Astyanax mexicanus: one gene and its partners. The protein of the gene in region 3 binds, or shares a complex with, the protein of the main gene of each other region. Links are inferred from orthologs where the notes say so. Each region holds a gene or a part of one and is shown on either strand. Other genes may lie near its edges.

What was found.
Region 1: snrpd2 (region 3) and snrpd3l share a complex: the UniProt entries of both Homo sapiens proteins name them as parts of the SMN-Sm complex. The link is inferred for Astyanax mexicanus from reciprocal best matches to the Homo sapiens genes SNRPD2 and SNRPD3.
Region 2: snrpd2 (region 3) and cwc15 share a complex: the UniProt entries of both Homo sapiens proteins name them as parts of the minor spliceosome. The link is inferred for Astyanax mexicanus from reciprocal best matches to the Homo sapiens genes SNRPD2 and CWC15.

Annotation. Positions count from the first base shown.
Region 1 is NC_064424.1:38,884,086-38,891,226, forward strand, and holds the start of snrpd3l (small nuclear ribonucleoprotein D3 polypeptide, like), read left to right. Parts: upstream 1-3,985; 5' UTR 3,986-4,107; intron 4,108-5,976; 5' UTR 5,977-5,987; coding exon 5,988-6,113; intron 6,114-6,750; coding exon 6,751-6,943; intron 6,944-7,141. UniProt on the Homo sapiens protein: Plays a role in pre-mRNA splicing as a core component of the spliceosomal U1, U2, U4 and U5 small nuclear ribonucleoproteins (snRNPs), the building blocks of the spliceosome.
Region 2 is NC_064408.1:38,128,896-38,137,048, forward strand, and holds the start of cwc15 (protein CWC15 homolog), read right to left. Parts: upstream 3,157-8,153; 5' UTR 3,059-3,156; intron 2,968-3,058; exon of another isoform or gene 2,949-2,967; intron 1,566-2,948; 5' UTR 1,556-1,565; coding exon 1,425-1,555; intron 989-1,424; coding exon 882-988; intron 722-881; coding exon 624-721; intron 1-623. UniProt on the Homo sapiens protein: Involved in pre-mRNA splicing as component of the spliceosome. Component of the PRP19-CDC5L complex that forms an integral part of the spliceosome and is required for activating pre-mRNA splicing.
Region 3 is NC_064416.1:9,430,326-9,438,116, forward strand, and holds the start of snrpd2 (small nuclear ribonucleoprotein Sm D2), read right to left. Parts: upstream 3,289-7,791; 5' UTR 3,161-3,288; coding exon 3,159-3,160; intron 1,864-3,158; coding exon 1,684-1,863; intron 424-1,683; coding exon 249-423; 3' UTR 1-248. Other genes in the region: foxg1c (forkhead box protein G1c), read right to left, coding at 5,190-5,918. UniProt on the Homo sapiens protein: Plays a role in pre-mRNA splicing as a core component of the spliceosomal U1, U2, U4 and U5 small nuclear ribonucleoproteins (snRNPs), the building blocks of the spliceosome.

The DNA.
Region 1 (7,141 bases), on a different chromosome or scaffold from region 3:
CGCCCTCTGCTGCTCATACAGCAGAAGTGTTATCAGCACCAGACAGTGACTGCACGGGCCGCTAGAGGGAGCCCAATAATAGAGAGTCCAATAATAATGGGAGTAAACGGAGCTAAACGGTCAAAACTTAAATTAAAATATTGAATATTTATCTGGCCGGGTTATTCATTTCATTTTAAACTACACTGATGTATAGCAAATAAAACATACCTATATATTTCAGTTTTTCTTCAGTGCCATGAGCTGAGTTGGTTTAATAAATCCGAAATCGCATACTTAAACTGTAGAGTTCTGGACTGTTTCGGGGTGAGGACGCACTTCTCGCCCGGTAAAGCAGAACGCTCTTTTCAGTACACGACTACGCAGCTGCTGCTGTTGTTGTTATAAAAGGGTAAAATGCAGACCTTAATTAATATATATTAATGTGAAAAATACTACCATTTACATATAAAGTAGGTCAGGTAGGTTCATATTTAATCGTTTATAATTTCCTCTTATATAAGTAATACACAGTATTCAGTGCTTATGACTTATTTAGAGTTTGTACATATATATACAGTACAGTGGCGTGAAAAAGTATTTGCCCCTTACACCCTTTCTTTTTATTAAGGAAAAAAGAACTATCCAAACCAGTCTGGCCCTATGTGAAAAAGTGTTTGCCCCCCATTAATGAACTGCAATTAATCACACTTTTTGGAAAGCTGTATCATTTAAATACTAACCACAACCAGGCCTGATTACTGCCAGACCTGTAGAAACAAGAAATCAATTAAATAGAACCCGTCTAACAACATTAACCAGATAAAATATCTAAAAAATTATACATATACAGTCATACATATATCACATAATGTCCCAATCTGAAGAAACTCAAAAACAGATGAGAAAACAAAGTCATTGATCACCTATCAGTCTGGAAAAGGTTATAAAGTCATTTCCAAAGCTTTGGGAGAAAAAATGGAACACTAGTGAACCTTTCCAGGAGAAACAAACTGACCAAAATTATTCCAAAAGGGCATGGCCAACTTATCCAGGAAGTCACAAAAGAACATTACTACACCCTTCTCAAAAATCAGGAGATGGGGCACGCAGTCACGTGGGGGCAGAAGACATTTTAAAAAGTTTTATTGTTCAGTACCGCTGTAAGAAAGACTCTGGCATTGAATCTTAGCCCCGCCCCCTTCACGTGCAGTTTGGTCTAGTTCTACTGCTGTTTAGTTTTACTCTGTTGCTCCAGGCAAATTACCACTTCAGGTTGGCTAGATCACAGCCTCAAGAGAATAGCATGTGAGGAGTTGTGTGCGTGTATTCCAACCAAACCACACACCATTGAGACTCTTGCACATGTAATTGAAGTGTGAAGTTTAATAAAGAAACGAAAAGGAGACAACTGCTTCATGGTGTTCTAACCGACACCCCCCATACAACACTCATCCCATCATCAGAACCCACACATACAGTCCTTTAGTGGTCCTCACCAACAACCGCTTTTAGTCAGATAAGAGTCCTGTAGCAACTGAAAAACAAAGACTAATGCTTTGAATTAGTTGCTGTTTTTTATTTTAGTTAATTTATAAAAGAAATTCTTACACCTACAATAGCTATGATATATATTTTATGATTAAATTATGTAATTATTTGCATGAATTTATTGTCACCTCTTCTCTGAAGGGTTAGAAGCGCCTCACTGCACACCATTGAAAAATTGTCTTTAGGCCAATTCTGGTGCATTTACAGTAATGTAAATTAATGTAAACTGTCCCTGTTAAATAAACTATTTAAAAAATGGTATACGTTTTTACTGTTTTCTAAAGCCTTCTGAATTTTCTTTAAAAACACTACATAACTATTACACTGAGATCTACTTTTCTTTCCATATATTATATTATGTTGCGAAATGCACTAAACAATTAAAGCTGTGTAAATGAGCATGATGTTGAATTTATTTCCAAGAACAAAGAACAGAAAAGCTGGTCTGCAAATAAAAAAACAAAGTTCTAAAGGTTATGTGTGATTCATCTTCAGTGTCTAAAAAATGTACTTTTCTGTGTCTGAAGAACAGACTTTTGAATAATGCACAGTTTAATCCCATTATTCATTTAGTGCTACACAATACATCTGTAACATGCCAGTATGGTTTGTGAATACTTAAATTTTTTTTTATCTCAATTTAATAACACTCATGTCATCTCTGTTTCACTCATAAACTATTTTTTTAAACACCAGAAGTAAGCAAACAGCGCAATCATCGCGAGATCCGCTATTGTTCACGTTGGTCGCAGGTGGAGACTGTCCGACCTGACTTCTCTATGGTGGCTCTGAGGTGCAAAACAAATAAACATTTCAGAAAAGTAAATTACAAAATTACAAATTTACATACGAAAAATAATTACATTCAAGAATACTAAATTACCAAAGAAAAAAATATTTTACATGGGCAAAAAAAAAAAAACATTACATTTCAGAAAAACAAATTTCCAAAAATTGAAACAAATTTTCAAGACGCAAAACACTTTTACCAGAACTGAAACACTTTTACAAACTGTGATTTCTGACTAAAAGGGAGGGTCTAACACACAGGTAGTCAGGGGCTGATCTAGCCATTTTAGGGCCCTAGGCAAAATAAAAACAAGGGGCCCTCATTCTTGAAACATACACACATAAACCAAATAACTAGAGATGAAACGATCGATCGGCAGTGTATCGGTATCAGACAATTTTCAGCCAAAATACGGTATCGGCGATCGGCTTAAGCAGTTTATCAGAGCTGTGTGTGGATGAAACTGGTGAAACCGGTGAAACTGCTCGCTTACAGGAAGCTGCAGTTCCTTTACACACAAGTTATATCTCTCCTAAAAAGCGTTTATTTTGGTCAGTCACACTTGTGTTTATTTACTAGCAGCGTAAATTACCAGTGTTTGCTTTAGGCGTGGATGTAATTAGGGGAATCTGTACCAGGTTTGCCAGGCACCTGTGTGTCATTAATGTGGCATTTGGCCCCGCCCAAAATCGGTATCGACGATCGGCCCATCGTGGTAAAAGACGATCAGCGATCGGAATCGGCCCCAAAAACACTGATCGGTCCAGGAGGTGTAAAAAAAAAGGTCAGTTTTGGCAGTGCATCTTTGATTCTTTTGCTCTCTGCCCGTTTCTTTCGTTTAGCAGAACCACTTTCATAACTCCGCTTCATTTTCACTGTGACAGCCCTCACTCTAGTCGCGTACAGTTCCCGCTGTTTTGGTTTGAAGTCACGTTGTGTGGCACATTGCTACGTCATCATATTATGGACTAGTTCAATGCAAGCAAGGGAGGGGGGTATGTGTGTTTGGACAATTATTATTTAGACATTAATTCGGTATTCTACTGATATTTTTAATATAAATATTTTGTTCTTTTCTTTACATAAGTAACAACTTAACATTGTTTTTGTGTATTTACTGTTGCTGGGATGGTCAGATTTGGGGGCCACTATGGAGGACAGATTTGATCTACGCCCTAGGCAAATGCCTAGGTTTGCCTAATTAAAGAACCGCCTCTGCAGGTAGTGCTTGTTGCGGACCCTCCGAGAGAGAGTCGAGTTATGGACAAAACAAATTATATATATATATATAATGTTTTTTGGCATGCATTTTAGGAGCAGCAGTAATTGTCTTTGTTGCTACTGCCCAGCGGGGTTCAGCTGCTGTACTGTCCTGTCCTGTCCGCGGGGCAGTGGCTGAGCATCATGTGGGGTGTTTCCGTCAGGAAATCGCAGTTTATAAAAGTGTTTCAGTGCTGGTAAAAGTGTTTCGTGTCTTCTTCACGAAACGCCCACCCCCCAGGTGGTGCAGGTGCAGCCGTACCTCAAACAAGCCTAACGAGAAACTGATTTATAGGACCCCATTCATTTGGACGGTATCTGAAACGTCTCCTGGTGGTTAACAAACCTCCTCCCTGACCACACGCCCACGGTCGTTCTTAACTACCATTCATTCCCACAATGCAGTGCTGAAGTGCCCGGATGTGAGGCGGTGTATTTGAGGTGCATTGTGGGAGCGGGAGAACGCTGCTCGGACGCGCACGCTGCTTTAGAGCGGGTACAAAGACTTCCTCAGCGCAAAGACTCCGGTACAGAAATATCCTTTATATCATTGTTTTACCCGGTTTAATCCTGTTACTCTGTATCTGTGGGTAAAGCCGAGTTTATACAGGCTTTATTAACTGTAAATGTGCAGCAGAGAATCGCTGATTTATTGCTCTTTCTGTACTGTTAGCCTGTTAGCTTTAGCTACTGAAGCTAAACTCTAAGCCTAAAACAGGAAAATTTATATCTACATCTAAACCACCTTTGTATTCCCTACACCCTTAAACATACCTCTACTTCGGGCTTTATCGGCTGTAGTTATTGGATAGTATTGTCTGTTTCCGGGAGAATATATGCTGTATAGTTAGAGGTGTGTTTAGCTCAGATGCTAAATATAATACTCAGCTCTCCCCAGATACAGACAAACTTTACCAACATCTGTTAACTGCTCTAATTATACCACTACTAAATAACTATAATCAAACGGTATTAATTATGATAATGACTTACAATAATCTTTCAGATTGACTAAATCTTCCCTTAACATGTAAGATAAAGAGTAGAAATGCACCGATGTGTGAGTTCTGTGCTAATGACGATTTCCAATATTACAAACCTAACTTAAACATGCCGATGTCGATATACACATTTATAACGTAAAGACTACACATCCCTGTATAAATTTAAAAGCGAGCTTATACCCGTATGTTTTAGCTTTTAACCAACAATAAAATGAAAGGTGCAGATGACTCTTAAACAACAAAAAAAAACATTTATTTACTTATACCGACAAAAACCTCGCCTGGTGTGACCCGCAGCATATCGTACAGAGTATAAAATCGTACTTTTTATTCATAATTTATACAAAACAATCTTGGTAATTTAGTTTTTTACTAAATCCAGTAGTTTTTAATTTTAATAATTGGTCAGATTGTTTATGCTTCTGCTGAATGTCTGAACCCTTTTATATTTACATGAAATAAAACATTTGCAGTTGTCTGTTCTTGAAAATAATAAAATAAGGTTTAGTATTTCAGTGTTATAATGTATTTGTACAAAAGAAAATCCCTGAAATATTGGTATCTCCTATCCCTAGCCCAAACCATGTATTTGCTAGAAAATTCCAGTTCTTAAAACTAGAGTTCATTTTATGATCAATGAAAGCTTTATTAAATAGGTATGCACATATTAAATGTAATGGTTGTGGATTAATGGTTTCCTGAATCTGTAGTTGAGTGAAAGTTAAAGCTTGAGTAAATGGTTCAACCAGTTGTTGGTGATAAAGGTTGATGTCTGTTGTACAGAAGTGCATCACTGCTCTTCTCTGGAAAGGGTGTAATATTTGGCTTAGTTTGATTTTTTTTTTGGCATTGCTAAATGCCATTCTGTAAGTTTATTATTATTTTTTTTATAATTGTGGGCCAGTAATGTATTTGTGCTGTCTTTGTTGGTTTATTGTCTGATGGAATGGAGCTAACATGGCTGAAAAATACTTCATCAAATATGTTTAAAACTGTTTTCTTAACTCCACTAAAAGCTAAAGATGCAAACTTAAGATTCTAGACATATTGTATGTAGTGCTGAGTGTTTATGGCCTAAAAAAAGATTTTTTTCACACAAAAAAAAGATTTTTGATTTATGTTTGATTATTTCTCCCTACTAAAATCAAACTACAGATGGCAAAGAAATGGTTCAAAACTAGGTTTACATGTAAAGAAAAAAATAGTTTAAGAAATATATGCGTGCGTTTTGTAAATTGCCTTAAAACTAATTGGAATTAACTGAATTAATCAGGAAAAATCGCACAGCGCTAACTACGTTGTGCTGAGCTGGACTAAATTGTTTCGCAAATTCTCTCTTTTGATCTGTTACTGAAGTCCTTCCTGTGGTGACCCCCTTTCTTTTTACTGCAGATATCTGAACAATGTCGATCGGTGTACCAATCAAAGTGCTTCATGAAGCGGAGGGTCACATTGTGACCTGTGAAACCAATACTGGTGAGGTGTACAGGGGGAAACTGATAGAAGCTGAAGATAATATGAACTGCCAGGTAATGTCTGCACTGTTTGTCATGTAGTTATTTTGTTTCCAATTGAAAAGTTTTGTTTTGTTTGTGTTTTGGGTAAACTTATTGCTTGTAACCAAGTTTCAGCTGTCCCATCTGTTATGCCCAAGTTGCCAGCCCCACCTCCACTCTTGACAATGTAAATAAACTTCTTTACTAGGAGTGGAACAAAAGATTGGTATTAGTGTTTTATAGTTTGCATACATAATACATTGATACATGGCATCAAATATGGATATTTTCTATTGAAACAAGGGTCCTCTATACTCCCTAAGACTTCCTTTAGATCTGTGAAACTAACACCCATAAACACATTCCTGGTATTTGCTTATTTAGGAGTATTTAATCCTCTTCAGTTACACAGATGTTGAGAATTCTTTTGCAGTATATAGTGTTGCAGAATCACAGTATCATAATGCAACGTGAGATGCCCTGTACTTTCCACACTGTAGGTGTATCTGAGCAAGTGGACCTATAATACAGTTGTTTAAACTGGCAACTTGTGTATGTAGTTGTAGGGGTAACTGCATTGCACAGTTTTCTGTTCTTCCTGTCTTTCTTTTTCTGTGTATTAATTAAAATAATGTTTGCATTAATGAATACTAATGCCTTTGGATTTTAGATGTCGAATATTACTGTGACGTACCGAGATGGCAGAGTGTCGCAGCTGGAGCAGGTCTACATTCGCGGCAGCAAAATCCGCTTCCTCATCCTACCGGATATGTTGAAAAACGCTCCAATGTTAAAGAGCATGAAAAATAAGAATCAAGGAGCAGGGGCTGGGAGAGGCAAGGCAGCTATTCTTAAAGCACAAGGTATGGCACTGCATAATCGTAGTTGATTGTATACAGTTTTCTGATACTCAATGCATTTTCATTACTTTCATCTTTTTTTTTTTATTATTATTTTTTTTATCCTTGTCTGATTTTATAAATTTCAATATTTATCCTCAATTTTACTTACTAACATTACTGTTTCGTTACTCCATGTGGTGGCACTTATCAAATGAATAG
Region 2 (8,153 bases), on a different chromosome or scaffold from region 3:
CCCCACCCACCAAATTTATATGAAAGTAACAATACTGGGTTCTCAAATATTGACAAACCGCACAAAATAATAGTGACCTATTTTTGTAAAACAGCAAATGTACGTTTTCCACCCATCAAGAAGCAAAGAGCAACATCCTTATGCCTTATTGCCATGCCTTTCAATATTCTTAGGGCTCTCCACCTTCCATGGGCCTCAGCAGAATTTGCATTTGTCTTGCCTGATCTAAAATCTTTTTGTTGGTTTTTCTTTGTCAGAAATGTTACTTTTTGGCTGTTCCTTAGCCTCACGTCTCTCACTGTGTGTATTTTAACATTTTAACGTGAAACACCAACAACAGTAAACTAGTAAACCATAAGGAAACATTCAATTAATTTTACAAAAAAGTATATAAAAATCACATTCTGTGCCTTTAAATCAACCAGGTAAAACAAACCAATTCCCATAAAGGTATGCTAACAGAAATGTTAATCTCCAGTTTAAAAGTTTTCTTAGCTTCCTTCCACAATACTACTGTAATAAAAAGTGTCTAATGTCTGGAACTAGTTTTGTTTTAACTTTGTTTTAAAAATGCTATGCATCCCGTACTCTCCATGCATATACTTCACACACAGAATACATACATCTGTAAGCGGGTCATCTGCATCAAGATTAGCTGCGGGAATCTGATCAAGTCTTGGTCGTTTGGAGGATGAAGATGAGGAAGAGGATGTGGTATGCTCTACAAGGCAAAACAAAAACTCCTGTTACAGTCAGATACAGAGTGTGTGTATATTTTACTTATATTACAATAGTTTACATAGAATGCCGGATTATCAGACTGCATTTTTAAACATCTGTTACACACACACACACACACAAAAACACACATTCTCCCTTACCCCTGGCTCCTCTCTCTCTGCCCTTCACTGCGACTCTTTCTCTCTCCTCCAGCTCACGCCTGAAGTCACGGTTGCGGATCTCCTCAGGAGCATCCTGTGTGGGCTGCCTAAAAGACACAACACACACACACACACACATACTTAAATCGCAATCCATTAAACACAATCAGTGTCTAATACAGCACCTAGACCCAGACAAATCACTGTTTACATGTGTTCACTTTGTTTGGCCATATAATATAAATGAAACATTCACCTGTAACTTAAATTTAAATGTAAGAGAAATAAATAAGTAAAAAGTACAATTACTACCTTAGGTGTGGAATGTATGATGGCACTATGACTATTGGTTTTTACACTGACAGAATGGGGTTACTATTATAGTGAATGATGCACATAACCGGTCACGTGATATGTATTTTTAGGTGGGTTATTGCGGACGAAGATTATTTTTAAGCTAAAATGCTTATCAGCACATAGATCATTCTGAATTTAAAAACCCTTTAAAAATGAGGGCTGTATGTTCAGAACAAAGGAGCTCACCTGTATTTGATTTTGGTATGTCCAGGCAGGTCTCTGCTAGAGTACTGTTTAGAGAGCGCACTCAAATCACCCTCTCCTTTTCCCCGCCCCCCTCTGGCGGGCTCAAACGTTGGCCGCGCTGCTGTGGTCATCCTGGGTCACCTGCAGGAGAACATAAATACACAGATCAAATCAACAACAATACAGACACTACAAGGACAGTACCTGCTTTTCAGCTCTGAATGTTTAATAACAACTGAGATGGAAATAGAGCACCTGTAGGCAGGGCTACTGTACTAGGTTGATGGTCTAGCTTTTTTTATTTAAAAAAATAAAAATAAAAAAACAACAATTACTGGCTGATACCAATATAATTCGACATAATTGCACATCACTTGGTATGGCCAGTATTTCAAACTGATATTTCCTGAAGTATTTATTGCATGCCGGAAAAGGTCAGAGCAACGCTAGTTGCATTACTCTAAAATGAATTGATTTAAGCTCATTTTTATTTATTTTTATTAGTTTTAAATCTATAAAGTCCCAGTTGGGTGTCTAGTCTCTCTGTAAGTTATGAATGTGTATATAAGCACTGGAATATGTAATTGTGTAATATCGGATATCAGCATCAGTCCAGAATTCACCACATTAGTGCATCCCTACAAATGTCAGCATAATCAAAAATATCTGTGTTAAAAAAAAAAATCATCATGTACGCTTTATTTATAGAAGCCCCTTTACATCACCTAAAAGAACTATAAAAACATGCCCTAATATATAATAATATATAATTTCAGCATTATCACACAGTACTCACAATGTGGGAGATGCAATGTCATGTAAGACTAATTAAACCATTCAAGTAAGGTTACTTTTTGCAAAATAGGAAATACCCACTGTTCTGTTACACAGATGGCATTATTAATATATGGATATATTGGACCACTTACTCTGGACAAAAATTGGCAAAAAATAATATATATTGTTTATTTTGCAATATATACTGCAACATTTTTTTCCAATATTGTGAAGCAATAGTATGACACCTTTTTCCCCTACTAAAATCTAATGACTTTAAGATTGCTGTCTAATTTGGACATAACATCACGCTGTGTCCAAATGATGATCTGTTATGAATGTATGTAGGAGGGATCTCCTGTTGTTTACTTCGGGAGTCTTAGATACAGCAATGGTGTGTGAAACTACCGCCACCATGTGTAAAAGTTAGCTCACACGTACACTGTGAACTGTTGACTTGCTTCAGGACGGTTTTTTTTTTGTTACAGATGAACATAACACAGGAGTCACACACACACAAACAAAAATCTGACTAAGCTACATATCTAACCCTAGCTAGGCAACAAAAACAAGCCACGGCCCTCCTCTTAAAATAAGCGAGTCTTCCAGAACATGTTTTACCGCCCTAATGGAACCTGAACTGGTTCACGTAAACTCGCTTTTCACACTTTAATCCACCCAGCCTCCAGTCGAAACACAAACAGTCAACAAAACCGCGTCTTTTTAAAGCAAAGCTCTGAAATTTACCCTCCTACCGCTCACCACAGAAACCTGTAGACTGAGCTGAGTCGCAGCCCGCGTTTCATATTTCTAATCTGTTCATTTTAAACAAATAAATAAATGTAAAAATGTCTCACCGTCGCCTCACGCAGACCTACGATATCCCGGCAGCCCTCGCGGCTTTGCTACGGCAGCCTGCTATGGACAAACGCTCCAGGAAACAAAAGAGTCCAGTGAAATCCCACAGCTAAAGGCCAGGTTTAGCATGCTCACTTAACCCAGGAGAGCCCATGGTGATGTAAATATGTGTTACAGAACCTTTAAAATCTGTGTAAAGTTTCTCACAGCTCTCTCTCCCTCACTTTTTAACTCATTAAGTCCCTAAATGACACATAGTGAACATCCATCACTAAAGGACATAATAGTTTGCACAATTAAGTGATTTAAATTCCATATAAAAATTCAGTGATTTTAAATTCTATATGACTAGTTCTCACCTGATTATGATGTTAAAATACCAGTTATTAGGTTGTTGTTTAAGGCAATAATTATAGAATAAAATCAGGGTTGTTAGCCAGCTGCCACTGTTAGTATACTAACAGGGATTATATGTTCACTCAGAAAATAAAACTGAAATAAAACAAACAGAACAAAACATTAAATCAAGTTTTATAAATCACACAATTATGGAGACACTGAAAGCCCACATGTGTTACATACACATTCACATCAGATTAGATATTACTGACAGTTTTCCTTCTAAGAAACTCTACAGTGAGTTTCTCACACTTGCAAACTACTCTCAAACTAATTTAAAATAAATAGAGCTGTGGGAATTTTTTAAATTATTTTTCTCAATATCATTAATGTAACTATTAATGATTATGATTTATATTATAATCATCTTTATAATCATTATAATATATTATAATCATATTTAATAATTACTATTAAAAATTATTATAATATAAAAAAGTATGTGAACCTTTTGGAATTCCATGGTTTTCAGCAAAAAAATGTCAAAACCAAGCTGCTGAACATCATGGACAATGTTCACCATCCTCTGTACAGCATCATCACCAGGCACGCTGTCCCATGCTGTCCCAGTCCTGCTCCACAAACAGACTTTTGTCTCTCAGGCCATAAGACTGTTCAACTCCTCTCACCACAGCAAACTAAAGACTCTGTGACACTTTTTCATTCCGGCAACTCTGGTCACTCTATGGACACACAACCATCTCTGCAGACACACCCTCTGAGATGCACTATTACATTATTTTTACTGTTTTACCCTATTCTGCACTACTAGTTTATTTATTGTCCACTGGTTACATATTTACACATTTTTATATGTATCATTTTATTGTTTTCTTCTTTTGGAACTTCGGTGTACTGTGTATAACGGCTACTGGATGTACAGAATTTCCCTCTGGGATCAATAAACTAACTATCCATTCATCAATCCATCCATCCATCCATCTAAAAATGTCAAATATATTGATATATATTATATATATCAACGCTCAAAGTGGCATTGGACAGTAAGTGAACCCTAGTAATCACTGGTTGATCCCCACCCCCCTCCAAATCACATAATTCAGAAGGAATTTTAGCCCATTCTTCTTGGCAGAAGTGCTTTAGCTCTGTTATATTCCTTGGATGTGTCAAGTGTCTCTCTCCAAGTCAATCCGTAGCATCTGAAATCTGGGGCTCTGACTCATACCTGTCAAGTCTCCCGTTTTGGCCGGGAAACTACCGTATTTTACTCCTCTTTCCCGCCGTCCTCCCGTATTAGTATTTTCCCGTAAATTTCCCGTATTCTATTAAAATAAAAATATATATATTATTGAGGAGACAGGGCACTGACCGCTCTGTGTCTCTTAACCAATCGTGGAGCCGATTCAAGGAGAAAGCCCGCCTTTCAGGAGAAACAGCCAATCAGCTTGCAAAGGAGGGTCAGTGTGGGGAAGCCCCCTCCGTCGCTGTGAGTTCAGGCAGCTAGTCGGAGCTGCTGATGTTAAAACATATCTGGATATTCAGCGATTTTTCTAAAAGAAAGGTAACGGTAGGCTAATCATGTAAACTGTGATGATATTTTTCTGATAGCTGCTTAGAAATACTCGTCTCCAAAATAAAACACACAGATTAAACCTTTTAAAATAAAAAAATACAGCTTGTGACTCAGTTTAACTAGAAATGTGGAGAGAACCGAAATTAACTGAACTAATCAGGGGTGGAGTGATCAAAAGGAAGAAGTATTAATTAAAATTTATTGTGTAGGCCCCTTAGGACTAATTTTTACTGATGAAACATATCTGGTCCATGTCCTTTTAGTAAAAGCTCATGATACTATTTTTAGGTCACCAACAGTAATTTTGCAGAATTTGTGCACCCTTTGTTCAATTTTAAATCCATTAAATATATAAAAAATATATCATATAAAAGAGTGCATTTATTACAAAAAAGACATGAAATCTTAATTTCTTAAAAAATATATAGAAAAGGGTTTTTAATTTGGCTGTATTAAAAGAATGACATATGTAGGAATGTCCACAACATTTCAGATTCTGATAATCTAATTGTAGTGTGTAAGTGGTTCACTTGTGGTTATTTTAGATTTTTTGTAAACCTGTCTTAAAATGTAAGGGATACTGAACCTTCGTTGGGCTGGTGGGACGGCTTTAAGCGTACAGAGGAAAATATCCCTTATTTTTAAATCTAAAACTTGACAGGTATGCTCTGACTGGGTCACTCCAATAAGCAGATTCTGTTCAGAATTTTTGCTCAAGTGTTTTGGGTGTCTCCTCCCCTAACCCAACACAAACTTCATCCAAACAGTTATACATTTATGTACAAGACATGTAAGTCAATATGACCAATGCAATTGTATGTAATTTATTAATATCATTACGTCATCAGTGTGCGGTTAACAGTTTGTTGTCCATCTCTAGTCTGTCAGGGCAACAAGTTTTTTATCATAATGTTGCTCAGCCCTGTGTCCTTAATGTTCCATATTTCTTCAATTTTTGTACTAATTTTTGCACCAGCAGTTATCTCCCTCTCACCCAGCATACTACTTATGATTTTGTAGCCCATTCCAGCCTCATGCATCTTGTCCCTGACATACTTAGAAACTCTTTGGTCTTGCCCATGTTGTAGAGGTTACAGTCTGAATGATTAATTGAGTCTGTAGACAGAAGTCCTTTATACAGGTGACAATTAAGGACAGCTGTCTTTAATGCAGGTAACGAGTTAATTAGGAGCGTCTAACTGGTCTGTAGGTGCCAAAATTCTTAATGGAATACATGGCTAATATAGTGTGATTTTCTGGATTTTATTTTGACATTCTATCTCTCATTGTTAAAATTAACCTTCCCCTAAATTATACACTCTTCATGTCTTTGTCAGCGGGCAAATATACAAAATCAGAAAGGGATAATTATTTCCCTTACTGTATTTATATATAAAGGTATGAAACCACTGGAAATAGTGTGAAGGTGTGATTATCTCCCATCACATCCTTCAATGCATATAAACATTCTATATTAATGTTCTATTCCTGTATAATATTTACTATGCTTATACTTTTGTTTAGTTTATTCTGGTGTGTATTTAATTCTTATAATCGTTGTAACTACAGTTGTTACTACATTATTAGTTGATGGGTGGGGGTTGGAATGGATGGACTGTTCCCACTGCTTCTGCTGTGTTCTGCTGTAAGGGAATCTATATTTAACAAACAGCTCAATAAAATAAATCTCATTAAGTGCTGGAGCTGAGCGAGTTTAAAGGGGGTTTAGCTTTAACTCACTGACACTGATCTGTTTTACAGGGAGGAAATAAATCTGACAACAACTGACAGTAAATTAGAGACAATCCAGTCTCCAGAGAACCCTTTGTTCTGGTAGATGATATGTGTGTATTAGTCCTAGATAAAGACAAAAATGATGGTTGAGCAGCCAGCAGGTGGCGCAGTTCTGCACCAGCTCTCTTTATAACAGAACTAGGACAGTGAGTCTGCCCTCCCTCAGTTTTAGTATAAAGTATGATTTTCATAATTCGACCGCATCCATCCATCCCTTTTTAAACATACAGGAGCATTTACTATTTTACCATTTAATAGCCATACGAAAATAACAGCTTGGCTCGAGGATGTTTTCATAAATCAGAACTGGAAAATGTGGTATGAACTGCTTATCAACTGTTACCTTTTTAGATTTGAAATATTATTTTATATAAATCTTTGTATTTCACATTTATAAATCATCCCTAAAAAACTCAACAGGATGTGGGGAAAACGGGTTTACTCTGCCTCATTATCTGGGATTCTGCTATGCTTTACTTTTTAGTGTGCAGAATTAAATTTTTCCAATGCTGTGGTCAAAGCTAAACTGCCATTTAATTGGATAAAAGTTTTCTCTGCCTGGCAACAGATATATCTCGGTCTGTTTTAAGTGCAAAACTACACAAGCGAGGTCCAACTGGGTTAAAACATGCGCAGGAATAATATTAGTTAGCCTAAAAATGCTTACTTCCTACCTTTACATCTCCCGACTAATGAACAACTGCAAGCTTCCACTAGGGAACCCGTTCTCCTGAACGGAGCAATACATCATTTGTTACATTTTTCTAAAAAAGAGCAGGACAATCCCATAAATACGCTGGAGTGGGCTATGGAGGCTGGAGTTTAGAAAATTTCGCAGGTTTTCCTCCTCCAACAGACCTGCTAAACCTGGCAATCAGTAAGAGAGTTGAATAAGGTTGGATTGCGCCTGAAAAAAATAAAATACAGAACTCTGCAGGGATCTGGTGCTCCAGCGCTGGAATTAACACAACCCAAGCTTTACAGACTGATAATGATTCTCTTACAGGTTATAAATTAAGACTACTGTTGTTTTTCTAATAATTATTCTAGTCACTAAAACAGTTTGCCACTTCGAAACAATAATGTTAAAAGGAGTCGTTTAACCTTCATGTGTACCCCTTTCTTTAAACCTCCACTCCTTGTTAGCTAAAGCTACATTAGACTTATTAGACATTCTGGAATCTTCTGCTTAAATAAATAAAACACAAAGGAATTAAACAGAAATCACAGACTCGCACACACGGTCAGGGTTTTACTAAATTTATTATTCCTGAAACGTCTGTCCTCTTGGGGGGGGGAAAAATAAATGTACAAAAGTGTGATCACAGTACAAAGAATTTCATAATAGATAGATGGGTGGATAGAAA
Region 3 (7,791 bases):
ATCATGACTGTTAAATCCTGTGTTATTCATCAGTGTACAAAACTCAACCAGACAACCCCATGTAATCACAGCCCTGTTTAGGGCACATGCCAGCCAGTGCAGACCCTTCTTCTACTGTTACAAACCCTGATACCTCCCTCCAACCCCCAACACTGCACTTTCTCCTCAACACAGAGGTGAAGAAGTGCTAAGGTTGGGTCGGTTCTGCAGCTCGCCTGCACTGGACTCGCTCTGTAAATGTGGACAGTCTATTTGCCGGTGATGAGAGGGTTCCTCAGAACGACGATGACCGAGTCTCCTCTCAGGAACATCTTGGAGATGTAGCGATCCTTATTGACTGGTTTGGACTTCTTCTTGCCCTTTCCACTTTTGGGCACCTCTGTCCACATCTCCTTCACATTCTCCAGAACCATGTTACAATGCCTGAAAGCAAATAAAACACAGAGAGACTGTAATCCACTAACAATCACAAACACCAGTCTATCTGCCTGGGTTGGTGTATATATTAGGGAAAATTAAACAGTTTTTGGTAAATTCTGTGCAAAATTAATTGGTTTCACAAAAATATGGTAAAAGGTGGTAAAATGAACCAGACACGAAAACTGTCAAGTTTTTTTATAAATAAAAAAAAATAATTAACATGAGTGAGGAATCCATATAAAGATGATATATGTTTAGACTTTCTATTATTTTACCATCATGAATGTTCCATATAAAACTCAGACACGTGCAAGTTCACTAGTACTCCATTTGCATTTAGGTCATGGCAACAACTGGATCACTTTATTGCAACTGCAAAGAACTAATAGCCCTTAAGTTTCTTCTCAATTAATCACAATTTCACACCAACCTCACTCTGCAAAATGTTAAATGGAATTTTATAAATTTAATACAGTTTTCACATATTAAATTATCTATTTTATCCCACAGGAAGAAGCAAACAATAACACTCAGAAATTATCTATGTCAATATTGGATCAGATTAGTTTTTGCCAGCCTCTAATTTAATCTCATATCCACCACAAGTTTTTGTGTTCACTCATCATCATCATCATCATCTTCATCATGGCCTTAAAGCCCCTCAAGAACACTTACCAAAGGTCAAATGGCCTCCAAAATGGTACTCGAATTACATATTCCACATGATGAACACAAAAGCAGTTTAATAGAGATAGGTAGTACTGTTTCGAATATTTTTATTGCTAAATATTTGTACACAGTAAATCTATATAATCTGGTTTGCAGCTCAGAAGGACAACTCAAATGACAGCAAAGTGAGTGCAAATGCTACAACATCCCCATTTATAGGCAGGGTTAAGTGTAATGGTTGGCTGTAACAATTACTGCACTAAACAGTCAGTTCAGTTGTATACTAAGTGCAGCAGAAAAGTGAAAAAAGGCTCCTGTTTCAAATACTGTGCATTTAATTTACACGACAACATAGAAAAGCAAATCACAGCTCCAACAAACTCACTCAGACTTAATTGCAAACCTGTTTAAAATACATTAAGCCACCTGTGTACAAACCATCAGTCAAACAATGCAAACATACAAACCATTACTTACACACTGTAAAAGTGTTAGAAAATACCTTAGCCTGGCTAGCACCTGCTTCACACCAAGAATGAGATTAATATAATAGAAGAGCAAATTCTCCTCTGCACACAGTTCAGAGTATCGTACCTGTCAAACGCCTTCACTCTGCCCAGCAGTTTCTTGTTGTTGCGGCAGTTAATAAGGACCTGTGTGTTGTTTTTGACGGACTGTGTGAGGACGGACAGCGGCCCCGTGTTGAACTCTTCCTCCTCTCGCTTCTGAAGCTCCTCAGGAGTCATCTCAGACTTCGGTTTGTTTAGGAGACTCCTGAGACACAACATGTTATTAGCATTTGTGGAGGAAATTGGACACTGATTGGTTTGAGCACAGTATATTAATCTTAAAAAACAGTGTTTAATTAAATAGTTTTAATTATAGTTTCATTTTCCCCTCACATATTACTATAAATTAATGTTTAATATTAAAATAAGTTAAACTAGGTTCGGATTGGCTCTTTAAACCAGTTAACTAAACATCAAATAGGAAGGATTTCTTTTTAATGTTTGAAACCAAAATACAAAACTATGAAAACCAAGCATTAATTTAGTCACTAGACTATTGACTAATCGGGAAAAATAATCTTTCAATTAATCAAAAACTATATAATAATAAAGGTAAAAAGGTTAATTAAGCAATAAGAAAATAATTGTTTGCTTAACTGATAAAACCAAGTATTAGATTAAAAGTAAATGTATATATAGTAGATCAGTCTATACAATTGCATTAGTTTAATCTGTAAAAAAAAAAACAGTAGATTACTCAATCGTAGGCTAAATGGTAGATTAATCAAAATAAATAATTGTTAGATTATCAGAAAAAAACTTTAGATTAAGCAACAAAAAATATTCAGATCAATCAAAAAAAAAAAAAAAAAAAATATATATATATATATATATATATATATATATATATATATATATATATATAATTTTTTGGTTTATTGTTTTTTTTATTGTTATATATATATATATATATATATATATATATATATATATATATATATATATATAAAAATAAAAGTAATACTTCGGTGCAGCCCTTAAACTGAAGTTGGCTTTTTGTAAGAATTGTCTATTTTAGCTACATTAATGGTGCAGAAGAATTGCTGAGGAGCCTGAATGTACAGATACTTCTGCCCCATTTAAGGTGGAACAGACAATTCTAATAAGCAGCTCACTATTCTTAATTTAACTCAGAACGAAAAAGCACAATACAGGAGTTAAATTGGATAACTAACGTAAGATAACTATCCAGCCAAGATTTACAACAACTAAACAGCAGAAGAGAATTATTAGAGAATTATTTAACATTATTAAATACGCTTATCGACATTTTAGTCTAATTTAAAAGTAGTTTTAAAGCAATAACACAATATTCAGGTCCTCTATGGGCATTAAATTTATTATATTTAAGTAGCTAAGCTAACACCTAACTTACAACTGCTAAATCTCATGCTGCTGCTTTTGTGTTTCTACGGCAGACGTTTAACTCCTGTAACCAGCCAGGCTTTCCCTAAAACACCCAAAATAACAGTAAAATCGTTTAATAATGTAAATACTCACATGTTTAGGGTAGTAAACTCTAATTTACTCTGGTATAAACGGATCTTTCTCTCTCTGTGGGTAATTCAGCTTCAGCGCGCGGGTCACGCTCACAAAACGCAGCGTTATGGCGCCGCTTCCTTCCGGGGACTTTTATTATATTTAATAAAATAATATAAAAAAAGTCCGGAACATGTTTTAGTTTGTCGTCGAATAAACGTTTAAAAGTCAGGAATTAATTTTTACTTTTTACATTTTTTGTGTTATTATTTTACATGTTTAGTTGTATTATATATGTGAGATGTATTATAATATATTATATATATATATATGTGTGTGTGTGTGTTTGTGTGTTTAGTAACAGTATGTGCTGAAAGAATGAGGTCAGCTGACTACCTGAATATACTGAATATAGACCAGATTGAATGAATGAATAAATTAGGGAGAATGAGATCATAATTTGCACATTTGGATAGTTCAGTCCTTAACCTCATTGAGAATCTTTGGGATGTGCTGGAGAAGGCTTTGTGAAGTGGTCAGACGCTCCCATCATCAATGTAAGATCTTGGTGAAAAAATAATGCAACACTGGACTGAAATAAATTGTGACATTGCAGAAGCTTGTTGAAACAATGCCACAATGAACGCAAGCTGCTTGGATGGAGCTGCTCGGTAGAAGAGTTAATCACTTGTTAATCCTACCTCTTATTCCACACATTTTATAGAGTGAAAATCTGCACACATCTGCAGTTTAGAAAAAACAGGAATTTAATCAGACAAATGCACAAAGACATTTATTTCACATACATGACCATCAAACAAATGCAAAATAGTTTTACAGTACATTATTTTGTTTTTGTAAAAAAAACAACAAAAAAAAACAAATAAAAGCAAAACTAAAAATATGTTTTAGTCCAGGTTTTTTTAGTTTGTTTATAAATATATTATACACCAACAAATATATAAACACAACAAAAATACATTACCATTAGATTTGAAGTTATAGTATGTGTGTATAGTTATATATTGGAAAATCCATGCAATTAGTCAAAATATAACTTTTAAGAATGATAAGCATTTACTCACAATATTTCAGGCATGCATTACATAAACCGTTTAGACCAAACGAGATAGCATTTTGTAATATTCAGGCTAACAACAATAACTTTCAAAGTGTACTGTGTTCTTCATAAGTGGTTGTTAATTGATGCTATAGTATCACAGTGTGTTCTATTGGTGTTCTAATGTGGCAAGGGGGTTGCTATGGTATTTTAGACAATACCATATTGCAATGTGGTTGCTAGATGTTTGTTTAGCAGTTCCAAAATGTGTTATAGTATTGATGTTATAGTGGGCTCTAGATGCCACATTGTGACAAAGTGGTTGGTATGGTATTCAAGTCATTTGCCATAATGTTGCATGGTGGTTGCTAGGCAGTTGCTATGTTATCCCAAATGGTTGCTTTGGCATGCAAAGCTACTATACTGCATACTATAGCTGTTTGCTATAGTAGACCAGGTGGTTGATATGGTGTTGATAAGATGGGTGCTACATTGTGACAAGGTGGTTGGCATGGTATGTTAGTCAGTTGTCGTGATGTTGCTTAGTGGTTGCAATTGTATCCCAGGTGGTTGCTAGGATTTGGATAAATGGGCTCTACATGGGGGCTACCTTGTAGCAAGGTGGTTGCTCAGGTTTTGAAGATTTTTTTCAAGATTGTTTTAAGTTATTGCTTAGTGGTTGGTATTATATCCCAGGCTGTTGCATTGGTATTCCTATGTGGTTGCTAGCTGGTTGCTTTGATATCCCAGGTGGTTGCTACAGTATTACAAGGTGGAGTCTAGATAACTACTACATTGTGGCAAGGTGGTTGCTATTGTATTTAAGATAGTTGCCATGATGTTGATCAAACCTTGGACCTTGAAAATGCTACGCAATTAAAAATCCAGCAGAACAGTTATGATAATAATATTAAGAAGAAGAATGTAAATCAGAACACAATATAGTAATAATATGAAATAATGAACAAGATTTATTTACATACAAATTTAATTTAAATACAAATGTGCCAATACGAGCTGGTCATGCTGGGATGATACGTGTATGCAGGGTGAATAAGGGCGGGGTCAGTGTGGAATTGCTGCAGGATTCCCATAGGGTGCGCTGTTCCCTCAGAGGGTATGGCATCTTTCCTGGCACTGGAGCAATCTGCCACCAGGGCAGGTTGGCCGGGCATTACCCCATTAGCACCCATAGCAGGAACCGAGGTTGGCACAAACGATGCAGTGCCCAGTCCGGCAACCTCGGATCTGGTTCCTGCCCATCTGTGACCCTGCTGGTGGGCAGACACTGGCTGCTGCAGTGCCAGGAATGATGCCATGGGCCAATAAAAGGAGCTGGGCAGTCCAAGCCCCGCCTTCCACTTCACTATCTTTGCAGACTTATCCGCCCGATTAGCCGGCTGGCACTGTGTTAGCTTGCCCGGACTTCCACCAATGTACACCTCACTGCACGGGTCGATCATCCAGTAGCTTCCCTTGCCCGGGTCGTCTTGTGGGCGTGGCACCCGGACGAAGCACTTGTTGAGGCTCAGGTTGTGGCGGATGGAGTTCTGCCAGCCCCGCCCCTTCCTGCTGTAGTACGGAAACCGCGACACAATGAAGTCGTAGATGCCGCTGAGTGTAAGCTGGCGGCGGGGGCTGTGGGCGAGCGCCATCACGATCAGGGCGCTGTAGCTGAATGGAGGCTTCTCCAGCAGGGGGCACTCCATTCCATCTGTCATTAAGGATTCCTTTGGGCAGGCCCTGCCTCTTTCAGGAGCCCTGAACATAGACAGGTGGAACACACTTTGTTTGATTGACATGTTTATAACAGCGATATCCAGTAAGAAGTTATAATAACCTTAAAGGAACAATCTGTAGTAAATGAAAGCAAGTGTGTGAAATGGCTGTTTTTGTGCGGTTGTGTTCTGTACCTGGCAATCCGAGATGTGGAAATGTATTACCGTTACATACCACACAGTTCAAATAAGAAAATACTGACTAAAGCTCTGCTGATAAGAGCTGTCGGTACTTTAACTCAGCATGGTTCCTTAATATCTGATGATACATCCTAATCATGTTATGAGTTACTTCAAAAATTTAATCCTTAATGGTCCTTTAATACCAATATTTAATATACAATCCATCTAACCTTAATATTCATAATATGTTTGCAATGACACATTGTAATTGTAATGACATAGTATCTGGCATTAAGTTCTAATAACAATAATATTCAGAATAATGCTATAATAATAAAATGATATCTAGTAAATCCAGTCTAATAGCATAACTATGCAGTATAAAATTATAATTATGTTAACATCCAGAATGAAGTTCTAATAGCATTTATATCCAGAATGAAGTTATAGTAATATTAATATCCAGTATGAAGTTCTAATTATGTTAATATCCAGAATGAAGTTCTAATAGCATTTATATCCAGAATGAAGTTATAGTAATATTAATATCCAGTATGAAGTTCTAATTATGTTAATATCCAGAATGAAGTTCTAATAGCATTTATATCCAGAATGAAGTTATAGTAATATTAATATCCAGTATGAAGTTCTAATTATGTTAATATCCAGAATGAAGTTCTAATAGCATTTATATCCAGAATGAAGTTATAGTAATATTAATATCCAGAATGAAGTTCTAATAGCATTTATATCCAGAATGAAGTTATAGTAATATTAATATCCAGTATGAAGTTCTAATTATGTTAATATCCAGAATGAAGTTCTATTAGCATTAATATCCAGAATGAAGTTGTAATAGCATTAATATCCAGAATTAAGTTGTAATAGCATTAATATCCAGAATTAAGTTATAATAATATTAATATCCAGTATGAAGTTCTAATTATGTTTATATTCAGAATGAAGTTCTAATAGCATTAATATTCAAAATTAAGTTATAATATTAATACCCAGTATTAAGTAGTTATTACATTAATAACCAGAATGATAGCATGCTAATGGCATTCTTATCCAAAACTTTAATAACATTAACATCAAGTATGAAGTTGTAAAAACACTGATGTCCAGTATGAGTGTGTATTACTTTTCTAATTACATTCATATTCAGAATTAAGTTCTAATAAGGTTATGAATGAATATCCAGAATGAGCTCAGCTGAATTCACACTGGATTTTAAACTGTATGAGATCTCTTTCTACACACTTTATCACACACTTGACCATACCTGTCTACCTGTACACAGGTGTGAGTTCACCAAGCAGCAGCCAGGAAAGCTTCCCCTCAGGGATCAATAAAGTAATATATACAGTGACAGCAGGAGGTGTAGAGTTCCTCATCCTGGATATCAGTATCACTGCACTGCTGGGATTTCAGTGAGTTTCTTGGGTTTGTCTGAATGCAATCCAAATTGATTATGAATTGAATTATTCTTATATTTCAGTTAGATTAATCAAACTAATTCAAACACATAATCAAAGGTGGTTGTAGAATGGATAAATGGATAAAGCATGCTAACAAATAAACAACTGAAAGCTCAAAGTAATATTTTCTCATTAAATTTACAAAACAGATGCATTCCAGAGCTGTCATATAAAGCTCTAGATAAAAATAAGAGAACATTTAAACAGTATGA